Ovis aries: one gene and its partners. The protein of the gene in region 1 interacts with the protein of each later gene in a biochemical or structural test. Links are inferred from orthologs where the notes say so. Each region holds a gene or a part of one and is shown in the gene's direction. Other genes may lie near its edges. The genes, in order: SYK, ERBB3, ERBB4, FLT3 and PTPN6.

Evidence for each region.
Region 2: the proteins of SYK (region 1) and ERBB3 form a complex in vitro, tested with the Homo sapiens proteins (2 studies listed by BioGRID and IntAct, with this or other methods). The link is inferred for Ovis aries from reciprocal best matches to the Homo sapiens genes SYK and ERBB3.
Region 3: the proteins of SYK (region 1) and ERBB4 form a complex in vitro, tested with the Homo sapiens proteins (2 studies listed by BioGRID and IntAct, with this or other methods). The link is inferred for Ovis aries from reciprocal best matches to the Homo sapiens genes SYK and ERBB4.
Region 4: of the proteins of SYK (region 1) and FLT3, one has a biochemical effect on the other in vitro, tested with the Homo sapiens proteins (2 studies listed by IntAct, with this or other methods). The link is inferred for Ovis aries from reciprocal best matches to the Homo sapiens genes SYK and FLT3.
Region 5: of the proteins of SYK (region 1) and PTPN6, one has a biochemical effect on the other in vitro, tested with the Homo sapiens proteins (2 studies listed by BioGRID). The link is inferred for Ovis aries from reciprocal best matches to the Homo sapiens genes SYK and PTPN6.

What each region holds. Positions count from the first base shown.
Region 1 is NC_056055.1:25,859,327-25,862,838, forward strand, and holds part of SYK (tyrosine-protein kinase SYK), read left to right. Parts: intron 1-1,277; 5' UTR 1,278-1,304; coding exon 1,305-1,706; intron 1,707-3,512. UniProt on the Homo sapiens protein: Non-receptor tyrosine kinase which mediates signal transduction downstream of a variety of transmembrane receptors including classical immunoreceptors like the B-cell receptor (BCR).
Region 2 is NC_056056.1:163,452,883-163,456,957, reverse strand, and holds the start of ERBB3 (receptor tyrosine-protein kinase erbB-3), read left to right. Parts: upstream 1-1,268; 5' UTR 1,269-1,424; coding exon 1,425-1,506; intron 1,507-4,075. UniProt on the Homo sapiens protein: Tyrosine-protein kinase that plays an essential role as cell surface receptor for neuregulins.
Region 3 is NC_056055.1:214,424,428-214,428,693, reverse strand, and holds the start of ERBB4 (receptor tyrosine-protein kinase erbB-4), read left to right. Parts: upstream 1-1,455; 5' UTR 1,456-2,207; coding exon 2,208-2,289; intron 2,290-4,266. UniProt on the Homo sapiens protein: Tyrosine-protein kinase that plays an essential role as cell surface receptor for neuregulins and EGF family members and regulates development of the heart, the central nervous system and the mammary gland, gene transcription, cell proliferation, differentiation, migration and apoptosis.
Region 4 is NC_056063.1:32,296,522-32,300,033, forward strand, and holds part of FLT3 (receptor-type tyrosine-protein kinase FLT3), read left to right. Parts: intron 1-2,191; coding exon 2,192-2,319; intron 2,320-2,981; coding exon 2,982-3,121; intron 3,122-3,218; coding exon 3,219-3,372; intron 3,373-3,512. UniProt on the Homo sapiens protein: Tyrosine-protein kinase that acts as a cell-surface receptor for the cytokine FLT3LG and regulates differentiation, proliferation and survival of hematopoietic progenitor cells and of dendritic cells.
Region 5 is NC_056056.1:209,357,954-209,362,059, reverse strand, and holds the start of PTPN6 (tyrosine-protein phosphatase non-receptor type 6), read left to right. Parts: upstream 1-1,294; 5' UTR 1,295-1,546; coding exon 1,547-1,560; intron 1,561-4,106. Other genes in the region: C3H12orf57 (protein C10), read left to right, coding at 631-782. UniProt on the Homo sapiens protein: Tyrosine phosphatase enzyme that plays important roles in controlling immune signaling pathways and fundamental physiological processes such as hematopoiesis.

The sequences.
Region 1 (3,512 bases):
CCATATATATGTGTTAGTATACTGTATTGGTGTTTTTCTTTCTGGCTTATTTCACTGTGTATAATAGGCTCCAGTTTCATCCACCTCATTAGAACTGATTCAAATGTATTCTTTTTAATAGCTGAGTAATACTCCACTGTGTATATGTACCACAGCTTTCTTATTCATTCATCTGCTGATGGACATCTAGGTTGCTTCCACGTCCTGGCTATTATAAACAGTGCTGCGATGAACATTGGGGGTACACGTGTCTCTTTCAATTCTGGTTTCCTTGGTGTGTATGCCCAGCAGTGGGATTGCTGGGTCATAAGGCAGTCCTATTTCCAGTTTTTTTAAGGAATCTCCACACTGTTCTCCATAGTGGCTGTACTAGTTTGCATTCCCACCAACAGTGTAAGAGGGTTCCCTTTTCTCCACATCCTCTCCAGCATTTATCACTTGTAGACTTTCAGATCGCAGCCATTCTGACTGGTGTGAAATGGTACCTCATTGTGGTCTTGATTTGCATTTCTCTGATAATGAGTGATGTTGAGCATCTTTTCATGCGTTTGTTAGCCATACATATGTCTTCTTTGGAGAAATGTCTATTTAGTTCTTTGGCCCATTTTTTGATTGGGTCATTTATTTTTCTGGAATTGAGCTGTAGGAGTTGCTTGTATATTTTTGAGATTAGTTGTTTGTTAGTTGCTTCATTTGCTATTATTTCCTCCCATTATGAAGGCTGTCTTTTCACCTTGCTTATAGTTTCCTTTGCTGTGCAGAAGCTTTTAAGTTTAATTAGGTCCCATTTGTTTATTTTTGCTTTTATTTCCAATATTCTGGGAGGTGGGTCATAGAGGATCCTGCTGTGATTTATGTCGGAGAGTGTTTTGCCTATGTTCTCCTCTAGGAGTTTTATAGTTTCTGGTCTTACGTTTAGATCTTTAATCCATTTTGAGTTTATTTTTGTGTGTGGTGTTAGAAAGTGATCTAGTTTCATTCTTTTACAAGTGGTTGACCAGTTTTCCCAGCACCACTTGTTAAAGAGATTGCCTTTACTCCATTGTATATTCTTGCCTCCTTTGTCAAAGATAAGGTGTCCATAGGTGCATGGATTGAAATCTAATGGTTATGTGGGCAGAAAGGAAAAGGGCAGATTAGCTCAGGCTCTAGACCTGAGTCCCAGAAGGAAGAGCATCCTGCTGACTGGAGGACTTTCCTCCAGAGCTGGAGGGTGGGTCCTCTAACAATGCCTTGCCATTCGGGTCTTGACCACTGCCTGGTCTTTGTTTTGCCAGGTGGACACCTGAAGGAAAGGCACAGGCATGGGTGACGGTGCCAACCACCTGCCCTTCTTCTTCGGCAACATCACTCGGGAGGAGGCGGAAGACTACCTGGTCCAGGGGGGCATGAGCGATGGGCTCTACCTGCTGCGCCAGAGCCGCAACTACCTGGGTGGCTTCGCCCTGTCAGTGGCACATGACAGAAAGGCACATCACTACACCATCGAGAGGGAGCTGAATGGCACCTATGCCATCACGGGTGGCCGGGCCCATGGCAGTCCAGCCGAGCTCTGCCACTACCACACCCAGGAGCTGGATGGCCTCATCTGCCTCCTCCAGAAGCCCTTCAACCGGCCACCGGGGGTGCAGCCCAAGACTGGCCCCTTTGAGGACTTGAAGGAGAACCTCATCCGAGAATATGTGAAACAGACATGGAACCTACAGGTGGGTGGTGGGCGGTCCTCTGGCAGGTGTGATGAAGGGTCTTATTGCTCACAGGGGCCCTGGAATTCCACACAGGCACCCAGTTGCATGAGAGCTATGCAGTGGTGCTTCAGATAAGCAACCTTCTCCTTAGTCATCAACATGGGCCCCCAAATGCCTCACTCCAAGAAGGCAGCCTTTCCTCTTTTGTGGTCATGCTTGAGAGGGTGGGCCCCTTTGTGCCAGCAATGTGGGTTTCTCCACCACAGGAAACCACTGTCACCCAATTCATGCAGGGCCCTTTCAAAGCAGGATCACTGGGCAGATACTTGTATTTATTTACTTAAGAGGATCATACTGAACACACTGATTGGCACTTGATTTTACCCCTTCCTAATGTCTCTTCCAGAATTTTCCATGTCAACAAGCACACAGCTGCATCAGCCCCTTACTGGCCCTCTGATAGTCCCTCCTGTGGACCATAATTCATTTTACTAGCACATATTGGTAGACACCTTCATTGTTTATAAACAATGCCCCCTACCATTCTCATAACCTTTTATCAATATCAGCAGGGTAACCCCAAACTGGTTGGATTGAACACAGTGAAGGATTTGGATGTGATGACAGGTTGTCATCCAGAAAGGTCCCAAAGGTTGTGACAACTTACATTCCCGCCACACTCTCCATAGCACTTGGTATCAGGAGGCACCAGGCTGGTTGACAGTCTTCTGGTTGGACTCACATGTTGAACCATTTCCTTGCACTTTGTGGATGTATGCTTTTTATATGTATGTGTGGATAACAGTAGAGGCTTTTGGAGGATTCCATCCACTCACTCCGTTACTCCTATAATATGCTCTGCACTGACTGCATTCAGTCTTGCAGACCAATATTATGGATTCTGTATTCTTCATTAGTATTTATTGGATATGATTTATACCAGGGGTCCTCCAGGATCTAATGCCTGATGATCTGAGGTGGAGCTATTGTAGCAATAATAGAAATAAAGCTCACCATAAATGTAATGTGCTTGAATCATCCAGAAACCATCCTCCACGAGGTCAGTGGAAAAATTATGCTCCACGAAACTGGTCCCTGGTGCCAAGACTTAGACCATCCTTTTACTCTTTTAATAGATTTACTGAGGTATAATTTACACACTATGAAAATTCATCCCTTTTGAGTGTACAGTTCTATCATTTTTTTTTTTAAACAAACAGGTGACATCACGTAGCCCCACCCCCAGCCCCAATCAAGATACACAATAAGTCCATCACCCATCAAGCACCCTCAGGTCACCCCCGCCCACTCCAGCCCCTGGCAACCCCTTACCTGATTTCTGTCCCCATAGTTTTGCCTTGTCTAGAATGTCATGTAAATGGACTCACGCAGCATGTAGCCTTCTCAGACTGGTTCCTTACACCCAGTATAACACATTTGTGAACCAGTTACGTGTCAGTGGTCCCTTCTTTATTGTGGCTGAGTAGTATTCCACACTCTGTTGCTTTTGCCCTTTGCTAACTCTGCACCGGTTGCCTCCTTGGTATGTAACTGTTACTGCTTTTGTTTTTCGTCCCATCTATGAAGCATGACAAAATGTTCAGGTTCACCTTCCCTTCTACCTCCCCTCCTCTCTTCCTGCTCCTCAGGGGTTGGTTATGTTTTTATTTTCACTTCTTCTGGTTCTTTTTATAACTTTGAATCAGTGACTTGTGTTCTTCATTTACCACTGTAATAGGTATCTATTTCTCTCCCACTAAGTGTGATTAGGAAGGTAATTCACTCAGCTGTCAGCCTCCTTCTCATTCTCGTTTTCCATGTTGT
Region 2 (4,075 bases), on another chromosome or scaffold:
CTATTACTATCATGACTGTTAAGTAAGTGGTCAGGACAAGGTCAACACTCAGAGGGCAAAGGTAGCCTCCAATCACAGAACAGGCCCTCCAGGGTGCAAAGCAAGTTTAAAGAATTTTAGCCAGTACTCTTGGCTCAGAGTGAGAGGTGGAATTTTTCTTATTCAAAGCTCAACTGTTCTTGAAGTCTTCAGGCTTGAAACTCTGGGGAAAATAATTAGGCTTTCAGGGCAAGATCCGGAATGCCACACCGTGTGAGGCCTCACTGCCGCCGGCTGGGCACCAGGAAGTGCCCATCCTATCCATTTGGTGTCGGCCTGGGTTTGGGGGCATCCCCTCGTGGTGGTCAACAGCGCCTCTGGCTAGGATCCGGGAGCTGGTGCCCTGGGTTCATGCCTTTCGGGGACGCAGTCTCTAGGGCCCTCTCGGCGTCCCCCTCCTCCTCCTTTCCAGGAAGACCCCAGGCCCGGAAGGCCTGGGAAAGTGAACTTCTGTGGTGGGGAAGGCGGCCGCCCCGACGGCGCGGTCCGACTCCAGTGTGCAAGGGGAGGCAGCTGTTCTCCCAGGCGGCCGTGGGGGGCAGCAGAGGGGACAGCGACAGGTGCGGGAGCCCCTCCCGGGGTGGAAGTGAAAAGGCGGGCTTCGGGGTCTGTTCCCAGGCTGGAAGCCACCCCCGCCCCCCTACCAAATCCCCGGGAGAGGCCGGGCCGGCGCCGGGTCTGGAGGAGGAAGCGGCCGGAGACAGTGCAATTTCACGCGGCCTCTGGAGCTCGGGTTCCTCGGCAGGGCGGATGAGTTATGGGGTTTCGAGGGGGTTTCCGGGGAAACTGAGGTGGCCTGTTCAAGGCGACAAAAACACCCTCCCCCTCAAAAACACACACACACACAGGCAAACACATTGAGACAGAAACTCCCCCAAGTGACCCAACCGGCTAGGGGAGTTGAGTGATTTGGTTAGTGGGCGAGGCCAACTCGCAGGGGGTCGGGCTTTGGAGCGTTCTCTCCCCACCCCCATTACCTTTCTCCTCTGGAAGTATTTGGGGGCGTTCGGAATCTTGGACTCCGGGAGAATAATTAGGGCGAGAGCCGTTTAGGATCTGCGCGGCCAAGCTGCCGGCCACTGGGCGTGGGGCGCGCTAGCTCGGGGCGGGCCGCCGAAGCTCCGGCAATCGCTACTCCAGCCTCGCGCCCGAGGGGGCGCGGCCGAGACTCACCCCCTCCCCCTGCGCTCCGTCCTGCGCTCCCTCGCAGACTCCACTCCTCCCCTGCCATCCCGCCCCGGACTCCGGCTCCGGTTGCACTTCGCAGCCTCCTCTGCCGCCGCTACCGGGGTCGCTGGCGGCTCAGGTGGCTCCGCTTCGATGTCCTAGTCCAGGGCCCTTCCCGGCCGGCTTGGGCTGGGTTCCCCTCACCCTCCGCTGGAGTCATGAAGGTGAACCGGGCTCTGCAGGTGCTGGGTTTCCTCCTCAGCCTGGCCCGGGGCTCCGAGGTGGGCAATTCGCAGGCAGGTAAGCGGCGCGGGAGCACTGGCGGGCTCCGAACCCGGGATTCCGAGCCGGATTCGTGGGGTGCCGGAGGCCAGCGGCAGGAGCTTGGGCTGCGCGAGGCTGGGGTGTGAAGCCCCCGCCGGCTGGGACCCCCTGGGCCCGGGACCGTCAGGATGGGGTTCTCGGCGTGGTCCGGGCGGGGACGCGATTCAGGGACCTGCTCCCCGGCCACCGCCTCCTGGGCGCCTCGCAGACCCTCAGATTTGTCTCTCCGGCGGATGCTTAAACCATTCACACTTCTGAGGACCCTACAGGGACGGGAACTAGGACCTCCATTCTGTAAACGTGAGGGGGTGATTGGAGGTGGAGAACACGGAGGAAGCGGGGCACGGAGGTGGGCATCTCGGTTTACTCCAGACCTCTTTGGCCCCTGGGGCTCAGCAAGCTCCAGTTTCGTTGTTCTGCCGACAGGGCGGAGCTGTGGAAGGGGGAGAGGTTGTTGTTCTCTAGTGTTGGAAAACAGAGTGACACCTCCTCTTCCGTGAGTGGGCCTGCCCTGGGGAGAGTGGAGATTAACCTGGGGGCTAAGTCCAGGGGACAGCAGGGAGAGCGGCCACGCAGAGGCTGACTGCCCTCGTTCTCTCAAAATAATAAAGTTGGCTGGTCTCCAACTTGACCAAACTTTTTTTAAGCCCCAGATCAATTTAACCAATATTTACTGAGCATCTACTATGTACAGAGCCCTGGACCACCAGCTATAGGGTCAAGGATTTCCAGCCGCTATATTTCAGCCTTTTCTCTCCCCAACTTGAGGGCTGACAGGGCACCTGTCCTGTCTTCTGAGCCCCCTATCATGGGGAGGGTCCTTCTCAGAGCCAGCTTCATCCCTACTCCCATTCTGTTTATTGTCTGGCGGTCTCCAGCCGTCTAGACAAGAGTCAGATCACCCCTCTGTTCCTCCTCCCACTCCCATGCCAGCTAAGCCCCCCTCTTTGGGGTGTCTCTGGGGTGGTGGACAACTGAGGGGTGCTGGGGATGCTGGCATTGGAGGAGTTCTGTTGATTTCCTCCCCTCCCCCCCAGATCTCAGCTTGGGGTTTGGCACTGTCAGGGCCCCTTCCCCAGGGTGGGAGTGGGAGAAACACCTGTGCTTCCCTCACAGTTGCTGGGCCTAAATTTAGACCCTGGGATCTTGGGATGTGAACACTCCCAGCTGGTAGAGGGCGGGGGTCTGGGCATTGGAGTGGGAGAGATGGAGTAAAGTGACTGTCTCACTGTTCCGCTCAGGCCCCTGGAATCTTCAGCTGGGAACCCAGGAGTCCTGGATCCTGGCCGCCTTCCCTGAGGGAGACAGGAGGCAGGCATGGTTGGGTCTCTTTACCCTTTATCTGGCTCCTGCAGCCTCTGGGCATCCGGCCCCGTCTCAGTCCTTCTATAGCCCCTTTGTCCTGGCGGTGATGGGGGCGGGGGACTTGGGGGAGAAGGCCTCTGGCTGAGGAGGGGCTGGAGATTCTTGTTGCGACCCACCCCAGTGCTCTCTACCAAAGGGGAGCCCCGTGACACTGGCCCTCCCGGTGCCCCTGGTCGCTGGGTATAGCAAGGACTTTTGAATTCCCCTCCCCCTCCACTCCTCCCCTAGATGCCTGGTTCCTCCTCAGAGGTGTTGTTCATCGTTTCCCGCCCAGCCCTTTGCTCTTGTTTGTGTAATATGGACTTTACCCTCAGGGTGGCAGGGAACTGGGACCTCTAACACTGTAGTCTCCCCAGCTCGACACAAAGTCTGCACAAACACATGCGGGCAGGTGGGAAGGATGGGGCCACCTGCAATACTCCCTAACAAGGAAACCCAAGGACGGACCGGGCTAGTAGGGGAGCTGTGTACGTGTTTGTCTGCGTGCGAATGTGTGTGCGTGTGTACACACACACACACCCTGCTTCCTTGTGCAGAAATCTTGGCTCCTCCTTTATCTGGGGAGAAAGGTTGGCGCCTTGACTTGGAAGAGGGGGTGTCCTGGCAAGAAGGGAGTTGGGGTGGGGCTGTTGCAGAAACGACCAGCCTCCTAGTGGTTTTCTTTTCAACCCAAGGACCCTAGGGTTCCCAGGCACCTCTGGGAGCTCGTGTCTGTTTACTCCTCTGCTGGGTCTAGCTCACACTTTTCCCTTCATGGGGAGTGATAGGGAATGGGAACCCCTCAAAGGTCGAGTGGTCAGACTAGGGGTGCATCCAGGAGGAGGGGTTGGGGCCTCACCCACCTCCCTTCCTCCATTCCCACTCCTGCCTCCCACTAGGCTGCCACCGCCTCAGGGAAGGGTGGCTGGAACAGGTGGTATCTACCCGTTCCCTTGCAGCCTTTCACCGAGCCAGAGGAGAGACAGGGTAGGGCTTCAGGGTCCAAGATTGACTATAAGCCCCCATGTCCTCCTCCACACTTACAAAGTAAAGTGAACCTCCAAGACTGACAGTGAGTGAGGATTGAGTGAGTGAGTGAGCGATGTTTGGAAGACTTCTTAATGGATCTCCTCTGACAATAAAATTGGGTAGAAGGCTGAGACTGGAGGCAGTCGACTGCTGTTTCCATCCAACTTCTCTG
Region 3 (4,266 bases), about 190 Mb from region 1:
ACGGTGAGAAAAACAGCAAAGATAATCCCAAAGAGCAGTGTGAACACTTCTGCTGCAGTCAGTACCACTGGCCAAGTCACCATCACCTGCTCAAGGCTTAGTTTCTCCTGGCCCTGTGCTACTTCTGGATAAAGCTGCATGCTCAGCTTGTTTGGCCTCCTCTCTGTTCCTCTTACTTGCTGTGGACCTAAGAAAGGGAAGGCTGAGGCCTCTGGGAAGAAGCTGCTGTTTCACTCTGTTCCAACTCCACGCAAATTCTTAAGGGACACAACTATAGATAAAAGACGTGGGGGAGGAATAGGAAGGTCTCAAATGATGAGCGAGGAGGCAGGGTGACTTAATTTTTAAGCTCCCCTGATACTTTTATGTAGTTGCTGCTTCTAGAGAAGCTGAAAAGGGAAAATCATTCATAGAACGCCTGTGCAAATAGCAAACCAATAATCCCCTGCCCTCAGGAGGTTCTGGCCTTTGTCCTGGGTACAGTTTCAGAGTTGTAAAAAGCAAGGGATATGTGCACTGATATAATCCAATCCCATATGTTTCAGACTAAGAAGAGTTCAGAAACTCCTATGGCTAGCAATGACTTCTGGAGGTCGTATGAACATGGAAGAGGACTAAAGCAGGACCCACTGTAGGATAAACCTAATTATTTAAGGTTGGTTATATCCTATCATTTGCCTTAAGTTATTTCAGACTGATCAGCTCAGCCCTGCATCAATTTCTAGCCATTTAGAACCAAATTGGTGGCTTTGGACTAGAATCGGCTTAATGAGAATGAACCTAAAACCAAGTTGTTCTAGAGTCCAAGGAAAAGATGAAGTGACCCCATAAAGTCTAAAAAATCTAAGGATGCAGCTCTACAAAAGTGAAAGTCTAGTTTGATCAATTTGCGAGCGTGGGAATGATGGGAGAGGTTGTATAGTTAGTTATACAGACTGAAGAAAGAGGAGTGCTTAGGTTCCCAGGACTACCTACTCCGCAGATGTTAACAATTACTGAACCAGCTTTTGAACTACTGTCTGAATGTGAAGCACGAGGAAGTAGGAAGCGAGGTAGCCTAATACAATTGAAGCAGCGTATTCTTTTCTTCTGTTTCTAGGGCAGGTCCAGTCTGTGGATGAGCACCGTGGAGTGTGGAGTAAATGGTGACTTTCTGGCTAAAAAAAAAATCTTTTTTGTAAAGCATCTCTCAGGTGGTCTCCACGCTTTCCGGGCCAGCTGTCCGCCGTGTGTCTGGGGGTGGGGGGGGGTGGTCTCTGATTCAGTTTGTGGCCTCCGGTGAGCCCTTTAAATTCAGCTCCCCCCGCCCCCACCGCTAGGCTCCCAGCTCCCTGACAGGTGTTTTCCCAACTCCTGAGGCCCACGATTTTGGGGAGTGGCTGAACCAATAAGATTTCCCTTTGGGGGGGAAGGCGTGGCTAGTTGGGTCAGAGCGGGGGCGGGGTTTGCGCGGCTGAGCAGAGCCAGCCTGGCTGCGTGGAGGGTTGTTTTACCCACCGCCCGCTCGCCCCCAACCTTTTTTTTTTTCCTCCCGGACGGAGTCTTATTAATTTCTCGGTGGGGCTGCAGCTGGAGACCGCGGAGCGTTGGAAATGACGCTCGGAGCTTTAATTACCGCAGCCGCCGGACAAGTGTGAAGAAAGCTGACAGCAAAAAAAAAAAAAAAAGGACAGGATTGGGGGTGAAGCGAGAAGCTTCCCCCTCCCGCCCCTTTCCTCCCAATTTGGACTGGAGGTGCAAGGAAACTGAAAAGGGAGTCGAACAGAGTCGGGCTGGGGGGAGAGGCCGGAAACCTACCGCCTGTTTGCAATCAACTTTTTTTTTTTTTGGAAACCCTCTTCCGAACCCTTTCTTTTTATTGTTGGCCAACCAGGGAGAGAGAGCGAGAAAGTGAGGAGGGAGCGAGAAAACGGAGGCTCACACGGGGACGTAGCTGCCCGGTCCGGCCCGGAGCGCCGCCGCACACCCTCCAGTACACTCCCACCCGCGCGCGCCCTCCCGCGCACCCTCTCCCGGTCCTCCGGGTCCGGGCCCTAGACCCGCGGACGCGGACTCGGTCGCCCGCGCTCGGAGCTGGTGCACCGCGCGCGCCAGTGCCCCTCGAGCCCCCACGCGCGCCCGGCCGAGGGATCTCCTCCGCGTGCCCGAAAGGGGATTATGCCATTTGGACATGTAATTGTCAGCACTGGATCTGAGACTTCCAAAAAATGAAGCTGGCGACAGGACTGTGGGTCTGGGTGAGCCTTCTCGTGGCGGCGGGGACCGTCCAGCCCAGCTCTTCTCAGTCAGGTGGGTCGCGGTCCTTCTCGCGCTCCCAGGGTTGAACCTGCTGCTGCCGGCCGAGCGGCGCCGGGTGGCTCCTCGCCCCCTGCGCCCTTAGCCCAACCAGAGACCCTCTCGCTCTCGGGCGTGGAGGGACCACGTCACCCGCGCCTCTTCCTTGTGTTTTTCGTTCGCCCCTCTTTCTATCCCAAACTTACCCTCTGCGTGGGCATGTGTTTCTCGTGAAAAACCACTCTGCGCCCCTTTCTCCGTCCCTTTTCTTTCTCTCTCCCCTTGTTTATTTCTCGCGCGTTTTCTTCGAGCCTCTCTAAGCCGGATCCCTTCTGGTAGCGCCTGTTGTGCGGGACGTGGGAGACCCAAAGCCGGAGTCAGAGGAGACGCTCCTTGCAGCGTCTGCCTACCCCCCGCCCCCGCCCGCGAGGGAAGAAGCCTCGGAGAAGCGTTGCCCTGCCGGGGCTCCGAGGCAGGATTGGGATCCCGGGGCCGTGGCAGCTGGGCTCCGGGGAGCGGGAGGGCAGTGGGGAGAGGAGCTCCGAGAGCCGGCTTTGCACCTGTGTGCGCTGCCCGCGGCCGCTGCGTCCCTGGCCGTCCGAGCCTGCGGGGTCAGACCCGACTCGAGCCCAGCCTGGGAGCTGGAGCACGGCGGGAGGACACGCCTCGGCCGGGGGGCCCGGGAACGCAAGGCCTCCGCTGGCGTCCCCAGCCCTCGCCCCGCGGACTAAGGGGGGCTGGCTGGCTTGCTTGACCTTTTTTTTTTTTTTTTTTTTTTAATGGCCTGACTGACTTAAGCCGGGAGCCCGGCCTTCCCGTCGGTTTCTGTGTTTGGCTTCAGGAAGAGTTCTTCCTGTAGTTCAACTTGCTATTGGCCGGAGTCCCTCCAACTTCTGTTTACTGCCGGGCGCGGCTGCCGAGCCAACCCGTCAGGCGAATTGATAGAACCCAAGGCGGGTGCTGCGGCACTGGGTGCGCTACCACTGCTGCCCGGGGAGCTCGCGCCCCGGGACCCCGCGGGGCAGGAGGCGAACTGACCCCCGGGGAGGAGGCGCGGCGGGGCCCGCAGGGTGGATGACAGCCCCTGCGGGCCCAGGGAGCTCAAAGTTTCTGACACTTGAGTTTCCTGAGGATGAAAGTGGGACAGGAAAGAAAGGGCCAGGAAAACCGGGGACTGACGTGGCCAAGGGGGGCCTTTTGGAGAGCCGGGGAGATGTCCGGAACCATACGGGGCTGGTCGCGAGGGCGTGGGAGGCACCTTGAGAAGATAAAGCCCCCGGGGAGTGGCGAGAGGGAGAGTTTCAGGCCCTCGGAGCGTGTCCTTCTGACCTCACCAAGAAAACAGCGCGCTGGAGTTTTCCCGCTCCGCCCCCGCCGCCGCCGCCTCCCCCCGCTCCCCCCTCGCCTAGTAAATAACAAGTTACAATCCTCGAGCCTTTCAAAATGACCTTCGAATGGCACAATGTGCGCCGTTTGTTCTGGCCGTTTGCACCCTCCCAATTACTCCGAAATTCTTCATGCATACCAGGTCCCGGGCTCCAGCCACCTCCGGAATTACACCAACACCGACTTGAGATTCCAAGCGGCCTCTTAGATACATCCCTTTTTATCTCCCTCCCCACTCCGCGTCCCTTCATATTTCCCCTCAATGGGTTGATTATGCACATTGAACCATTCAGAAGCAGTTGCGACTGACACGCAGGCTTAGCCGAGAGGAATTTCCACCGGGCGACCTACTGGGGGGCTGTCTGGTGCAATCTCTGCCGCTGGGGGACCCGGCTGCGAGTCCGCAGCGATTGGGTATTAACTGTGCGGCTCGGGCTTGAGCTATGCCGAAAAGCCCTTTTCAGAATTTCTGCAAGGAATGTAATCCAAATTAGTTCTGCAGCTGTCCTCTTCCTCGTCTCTGGCGACACCGACTCGCACCCTCGCTGGTCTCTTCTCGCTTTCCCCCCGTGAATTGTCAGACCCACACAAGTGAGCCCAGTTAGA
Region 4 (3,512 bases), on another chromosome or scaffold:
CCTTCTGTGCTTATACCTGTGTGGCCTTGAATGAGTTACTTAACCCCTTCCCACCTCATTAGAATCATGGGGCTGGTAGTGGTCTGTACCTTGTACGATCACTCTGATGAGGAAATGAATCGGTACACGTGAAACGCACAGAACAATGCCTGGTAGATACTAAGTACCTTATAAATGTGTTATACCTAAGTGTTCACAAAGTAAGGATTCATGCTGTTTGAACTAATTAAAATGTACTAAACAACTTTAATTGAAAAATGGGACCAAAGAGAAGGAGAAAAAAAAAAATCAGGTTGCCAAATGAGAAAACTGGGATCCCACATTTTGAAGGAAAAAGAGATTACCTATAGATATAAATGTGTGAACAGGGAAGAAAAAGATCAGAAAGCTACACACAGCAAAATAGTAACAGTTGGTCATCTCATGGTGGTAGGAATATGGGCAAATTAAAATTCTTTTCTTTGGGTTTCTCTGGATTTTCCAAAATTTCTATAATAAGCAATTATTGTCATCTTAAAGATTAATTATTATTGGGACTTCCCTGACAGTCCAGTGGTTTAGACTCTGATCTTCCAATGCAGGGTACTCAGGTTACATCCTGGTCAGGGGTCTAAGATTTCCCTTACCACTTGGCCAAAAACAAACAAAAATTATTATTATTGTAATTTAAAAAGAATTATTGTTGTCATTTTTAAAACTCAAGGAATAACGTGTAAACAATTTATGTGACTGAAGTGATAAAGAGGAGAAAAGTGACTATACACAGAAGCTGTATATAGTCTGTGTATAGTCACAGAAAGCTGTGACTATTCCAAAAGCTGTACCTGCTTTGGGAAAGGTGATAGTTAGGGAGGTGGGAGAGGGCAGGGAGAAGTCCCTCAAGTCCCCATGCGTGTGTGCTAAGTTGCTTCAGTCGTGACTCTTTGAGACCCCATGGACTGTAGCCCGACAGGCTCCTCTGTCCTTGGGGATTCTCCAGGCAAGGATACTGGAGTGGGTTCCCGTGCCCTCCAGGGGATTTTATCAAACCTGAGTCACCTGCGCTGCAGGCAGATTCTTTAGCATTGAGCCACCAGGGAAGCCCAAATCCCCAGGTGGGGCTGGCTCCTCTCAGGTGACACCACCCTCTCCTCTGTGAGCTGCGGGGACCCTGGGCACTTCTGCAACCCTGGCCTCTCTCCCTCTCACTGCTTGTCCTCTTCAGAGCTTCAAAGACCCTACACCTTGTTGCTGTATTAGAACCTAATTGTGCTTTTCCTTTTTTCCACTTTCTTCCCCACCCCTTTTCTGTCTTTTCTCAATTCTTCCATTCATTTTCTCTGTTTGACAACAACCAAGAGGTCACCAGACACAAAATCTTTTTTAAAATAAATTTTTATTGTAGTATAGTTGCGTTACCGTGTTGTATTAGTTTCTAGTGAGCAGCAAAATGAATCTGACCTACATGTACAAGTACCCCCTCACTTCTGGATTTCCTCGCCGTTCAGGTCACCTCAGAGCATTTAAGTCGAGCTCCCTGAGCTATACAATATGTTCTCGTTTGTTGTTGTTGAGTTGCTAAGTTGTGTTCAACTCTTTTGGGACCCCATGGACTGTAGCCCGCCCGGCTCCTCTGTCCATGGGATTTCCCGGGCAAGAATACTGGAGTGGGTTGCCATTCCCTTTTCCAGGGGATCTTCCCGAGCCAGGGACTGAACCCTTGTCTCCTGCATTTTCAGGCGGATTCTTTACCTCTGAGCCACCACCCTGGACTGTCAGGGAAGCCCGTGTTCTCATTAGTTATCTGTTTTATACATGCTCTTACCTGTTTTACACATGCTGTTTTCTATTTTATACATACTACCGACAGTGAGTGTATATATGTCAATCCCAGTTTTCCAGTTCCTCCCGCCCTTTTCCCCTTTAGTATCCATACTTTTCTCAAAACCTTTTGAACTCTTTTATTATGTGATTCCTTCCAGCGTTATTCTAATTAGGTGAAGGTGATGAATAACTAACTAGTTCCCTTAAGAATTCCGTGGGTGGTGCGGGCACCTTCAGTATGAATTGGTTTGCCTTGTGACCTGCTCCTATCTTTATTTTCTTATCAGGCTCTTAAACTCTACAACCTTTTATCTGGTTCTTCTCCTGAATACTCGCTTGTCATTTTAAAAGGTGTTTAAGTCAACTGACATTTCTTTTTTAATTGCAGCTGTAAAGGAGAGAGTCCAGCTGTCGTCACGAAGGAGGAGAGCGTCCTCCATGAGTTATTTGGAACAGATATCAGGTGCTGTGCAAGAAATGAGCTGGGCAGGGAATGTACCAAGCTCTTCACTATAGGTAAGACCGTCATATCGTGTCCATTTTCTGTGACTGTTCCTTGGAGACAGTCTGGGACTAATCATCACCCCTTAGGTCCTCACTCAATTTCAAAAATGCTATAGTTCCTTCAGGCCATTTTCAGTATAATATTATGGATTCTTTCTGTGCTCATTTCTTCATAAGAGACTACTTAATCTCTGAAAGATCCTTTTATTGTGGATAGTTTGTAATATTTAAGATGCCATTAAAATCTTTTTTAAAAATTTATTTATTTTATTTTTTGGCTGTGCTGGGTCTTTGTTGATGCACAGGCTTTTCTCTAGTTGCGGCAAATGGGGGGCTACTCTCTAGTTGGGGTGCACGGACCTCTCATTGTGGTAGCTTCTCTTGTTACGTAGCACGGGCTCCAGGGCGTGTGGGCTTCAGTAGTTGCTGCACATGGGCTTAGTAGTTGCGACTCCCAGGCTTTAGAGCAGAAGCTCAGCAGTTGTGACCCATGGACTTAGTTGCTCCATGGCACGTGGGATCTTCCTGTGTCTCAGGCAGATTCTTTACCACTGAGCCCTCAGGGAAGCCCTGAGATACCATTAAAGCCTTTATTCTGCAGAATGTTCAGGATATATTGTGTGGGGCAGGGGGGAATCACTTTTCTTCTTACCCGGGATTTTTTCATCTTCTAGATCTAAACCAGACTCCTCAGACCACACCGCCACAATTATTTCTTAAAGTAGGGGAACCTTTATGGATAAGGTGCAAAGCCATTCACGTAAACCATGGATTCGGGCTCAGCTGGGAATTAGAGAATAAAGCACTGGAAGAGGTGAGAGGATGAGCTTGTATTCTGAAATGCAGAAAAATGAACCAAGTATCCAGGTGGAAATCACTCCATTCAAACTCTGTTTTATATTAAAATCTAGGGCAGCTACTTTGAGATGAGTACCTATTCCACAAACAGAACTATGATACGGATTCTGTTTGCTTTTGTATCATCAGTGGGAAGAAATGACACTGGCTATTACACTTGTTCCTCTTCAGAGCATCCCAGTAAATCAGCTTTGGTCACCATCCTAGGTAATGCAGCTGCGCACATAATCTGTACTCGCGTTTTTATTTGTTTTAGTGTGGAGTGTAAGGGAGGTGCTGCAAATTCTGCTTTCAGTATAAGGTTAGTATCAAAAAGATGAGAGAGAAATTGAATTAGGATAGCTTTG
Region 5 (4,106 bases), on another chromosome or scaffold:
TCTTAAGTGCATGTTGTCGTTACCATTAATTATACTGTTATTCCGTTTTAAGATGAGAAATCAGACTCTGCTAGTAAACCAGTGATGGAGGCCACAGGAGAACGTCCCATGAGTCCCATTTTGATGGCTTTTAGTGAAATGTCTATGTGACCACACACTTCTGCAGCGCCCCCCCCCCCCAAAAAAAAGTGCTTCAGCTAATCTGAGGGCTGGCTAATCTGAGGGTTCAGTTTCTTGGGTGAGATCACCGAGTTCTCCAAGAGTGTTTATTGATCCCACCCAGCTGGCCCATGATCCTCCTGTGTCCTGGTTATAGACTGGCGATCTTGTTCTGTTGGGTACGCATCCTTTGGGCTCTTGTGACTAAACTGCTAAAATGGTTAATCTGATCCTGGGAAGCACACTGCTTTGGGATGTTTTCATTCACTGCATCCCATCCGGTTGTGCCTGGTGTAGACCAGGAAATAATTTATCCGGACCACGCAGGGCATTGCCTGGGTCTTGTTTTGAAGACAGCTACCTGACCAGAGGGGAAGCAGCCATCCACTCCAGCTCAGGCTGCTCCCTCCTGCCATCTTGGGCACATCCGTCCCCTGTGGATGTGGACTGAAGTTTCGTTCCCCTTTGCAGGTGTTCTTAAGTTTGCCCGCCTTGTTAAGTCTTACGAAGCCCAGGATCCTGAGATTGCCAGCCTGTCGGGGAAGCTGAAGGCTCTGTTCCTGCCGCCCATGACCCTGCCGCCCCACGGGCCTGCTTCAGGTGGCAGCGTGGCCGCCTCCTGAGGACTGGCCCTCCCGTTAACACTGCTGGGGAAGGGAAGACCTAATTGTACTGCAGGATAATAAATGTGCCTGTGACTTAGTGTTGATGTCTGTTTTTTGTGACCCTGACAACCTCTACGTCCTGCCTGATTCCCTCTTGCCTTTCAGGCTGTCCCATTTCCCTTTCCAGATCTTTCCTGTGTTCCTTCAGGGCTGGACCAGCTCCAGGGCAGAGTGCAGAGTGGGAGGATGGGCCGGCCCCTCAACCCCCCTGGGTGGGGTGGCCTGCACAGCCTTCACCCTCTTTGAGCAGTGGGGCTTTCTGGACTTTTCCTGAGGCTCCTGGGCTTCTGTGCCCCTGGAGACTTCCCCATTGGCTGGTGCTCCCTTGGCCAGGGTGACTTCCTGGGCTTTGCCCGCAGCACCCAGCTTCCTGCGGCTCGGTTGGCTGGCGGGCCAGGTGGAGTTCCAGGTGGCTCCTCCCTTCCCCAGGGAAGGAGGCGGGGAACAGGCAGGCGTGCTGGGCTGGCGCTAGACTGCCGAGTAGGGCTGGAGGGAGAAGCCAGCTGCTGAGGCCAGCTCCGCCCCACCTGTCCCTTTTCCGGGGTTATTTAGTCCAGGGGCTTGTCCCCACGGTGCCTGTGGCCTGGCAGGCAGCATCAAGAGGAAAGTGGCTGGTTTCTGAGCATTCTTCCTCACCTGGCTTGGGCCCCTGCACAGCTGCGCCACGGGCTCGACCCCGCCCCCTGTGCCTTCTGCCTGGGACTCCCCACCCCTCTGGGGAAATGCTGTCCCATGGGTAAGTCCCTTGCTCCATCTGGGTAACCGGGGCTCTTGTTCATTGGGGAGGGAGGGGCGGGGATCCTGCTCACTCCTGACAGGTGCATGACCATGAGTGTGACCTGCCCCTGTCCCCTCCCCAGGTCACTTTCCCCACAAGATGCCAGAACTCCAGCCTTGTTCATGACCCTCTGACCCACCCCCTTCTCTGGTACTTTCTCCCTGACGGATGCATATTTATTCTCACCAAATTTCTTTCTCCGCCCTCTGGTCCCCTGCTTCTGTCTTCTGCTAAGGACACGTCCCCTAGGGAGCTGAATGACACCTGAAACATTACACATCTGAAAGGCAGACCTGAGAAAGATGCCCTGTTCTCACTAAATGTCCCAAATCCTTCATTCCAATCTCCCTCAGTTTTCCTTCACTCCTCTGCATCAATTCATTCAGATACTGTTAAGTATCTATTGTATGCTGGTGCTTTTTAGTTTTTAAATTTTTTTAAGATTTTTTTTTTAATGTGGGTCATTTTTAAAGTCTTTATTGAATTTGTTACAATATTGCTTCTGTTTTATGTTTTGCTTTTTTGGCCCCAAGTCATGTGGGAGGGATCTTAGCTCCCCAGTCATGGATGAACCTACACCCCGGGTATTGGAAGGTGAGGTCCTAACCAATGGACTGCCAGGGAAGTTCTGTCAGGTGCTTTTTAAGGTGCTGCCAGTACTGTAACAAACAAGAGACACAGTTCCTGCCTTCACGGAGCTTCATGCGGGTGGAAGGGGACAGACTGCCCAAGGAACCCATTAAATAGGATAATTGCCGGGTCTCGGAAGTGTTACCCAGAAAATAAACCAGCTTCACATGCTAATAAGGGACTGGGGTGCCAGTGGCATCACTGGCTGGAGGGGCCAGGGAGGGCCTTCCTGAGTCGGTGACGAAGGAGCTGAGACCTGGATGAGGAGGAAGAATCAGGCTCCAGTGCTGCTGGCAGAGGGAATGGCCAGTACAAAGACCCTACTGTGGGAATAAACTGAATGATGGTGCCTGGGGGCAGAGTTGGCCAGTGAGGACAGAGGAGGGCTGGGTCACGTGGGGCCTTCTTGGTGTTTGGATACTACAGTGAGGACCTGCTGGGCGTCTTGGTGAGTTGGTAGGTTGGTTGCCCCAAGTCCAGTAAGTTCTTGCTTGTTATATTCACATCTGCTCTTGGGGTGTGCCTGCCTCCCTCAGTGCACCCCTTGTCTCCTTCAGCCCCAATGTCAAGATTCTTTAAAAAAATATTAAAAATTTATTTTATTAATTATGTATTTTAAAAATATTTATTGATAGATTTACTTATAACTAAATTACTTATTAATAGATTTATGTGTAAACAAATGACTTATTGGTAGATTTATTTATAAATAATTTGTTTATTGATAGATGTATTTATATATAAATACATTTATTTATTAGTTGTGGCATGTGGGATCTAGTTCCCTGATGAGAGGTTGAACCCGAGCCCCCTGCACTGGGAGCGAGGAGTCTTAACCACTGGACTGCCAAGGAGATCCCTGCTGTCAAGGTTCTTATTGGGTCTTCTGGTCCCCGATCTCTTCCATGCTCCTGCCTCTGTCATTTTCCTGCCAGATGGTTGGCAAGTCCTTTCCTGAGAAAGAATCCTTCCTTGGTTCCTCAGGCTGGCCCTGTGAGACCCTTTGCCAAGGGTCCCGGCCTCTCAGAACAGCTCAGCTCAGCCATAGGGCCCAGCTCCCAGCCAGCACTATGCTCGTGGGTCCCGTGCCAGCTCCCCAGGGGCCTCTGCCCACGCCCTGCCTCCTCCTCCCGCAGCGGGTGGTGCAGTGGGAAGGACAGTGGCCTCGTTAGACGTCAGACAGCCTTGGTTTGTTGTCTTTCCCCTTCCTAGTTTGTGACCTTGGTCAAGTTACTTCTCTGAGCCTTAGTTTTTGTTTCTAAAGTAGGGCTAACATGGACTTCCCTGGTTGTCCAGTGGTTAAGAATCCACCTGCCAAGGCAGGGGACATGGGTTTGATCCCTGGTCTGGGTAGATTCCACACGTTGAAGGGCAACTAAGCCCTTGGGCTACAACTACTGAGCCTTTGAGCCCCTCTTCGCTCTGCAAAAACAGAAGCCACAGCACTGAGAAGCCCATGCACCTCAACTAGAGAAAGACCACAAGCAGCAGGGAAGACCCAGCACAGCCAAAAATAAATAAATAAAATTGGCTAACAGGACCTACTAAATAGGGTTGGCATATACATTAATAACATCACACAAAAGCTGTGTGTTTTCATACTAAAAACCTACTTCATATCGGCTTTTTATATCAGCATTTGGGAAATATTGTTAAACCCATTTATCAGGTAGGGATACTGAGGCCCAGGGAACTTCAAGAGCTTTCTAGAGATTACTTTGTTTGCTCTTCCAGACTGCCTGTCTTTCTGCATACCTGTTGATCTTCATCTCTGCCTTTATCTCCTTGCTTCCCAAGTGAGTAATTTTCTCTTCTCAATTAGTAGGCCCTTACTTTTTTAACTCTCAGCTTCCTTGAGCCTGTTTACCTCCCTT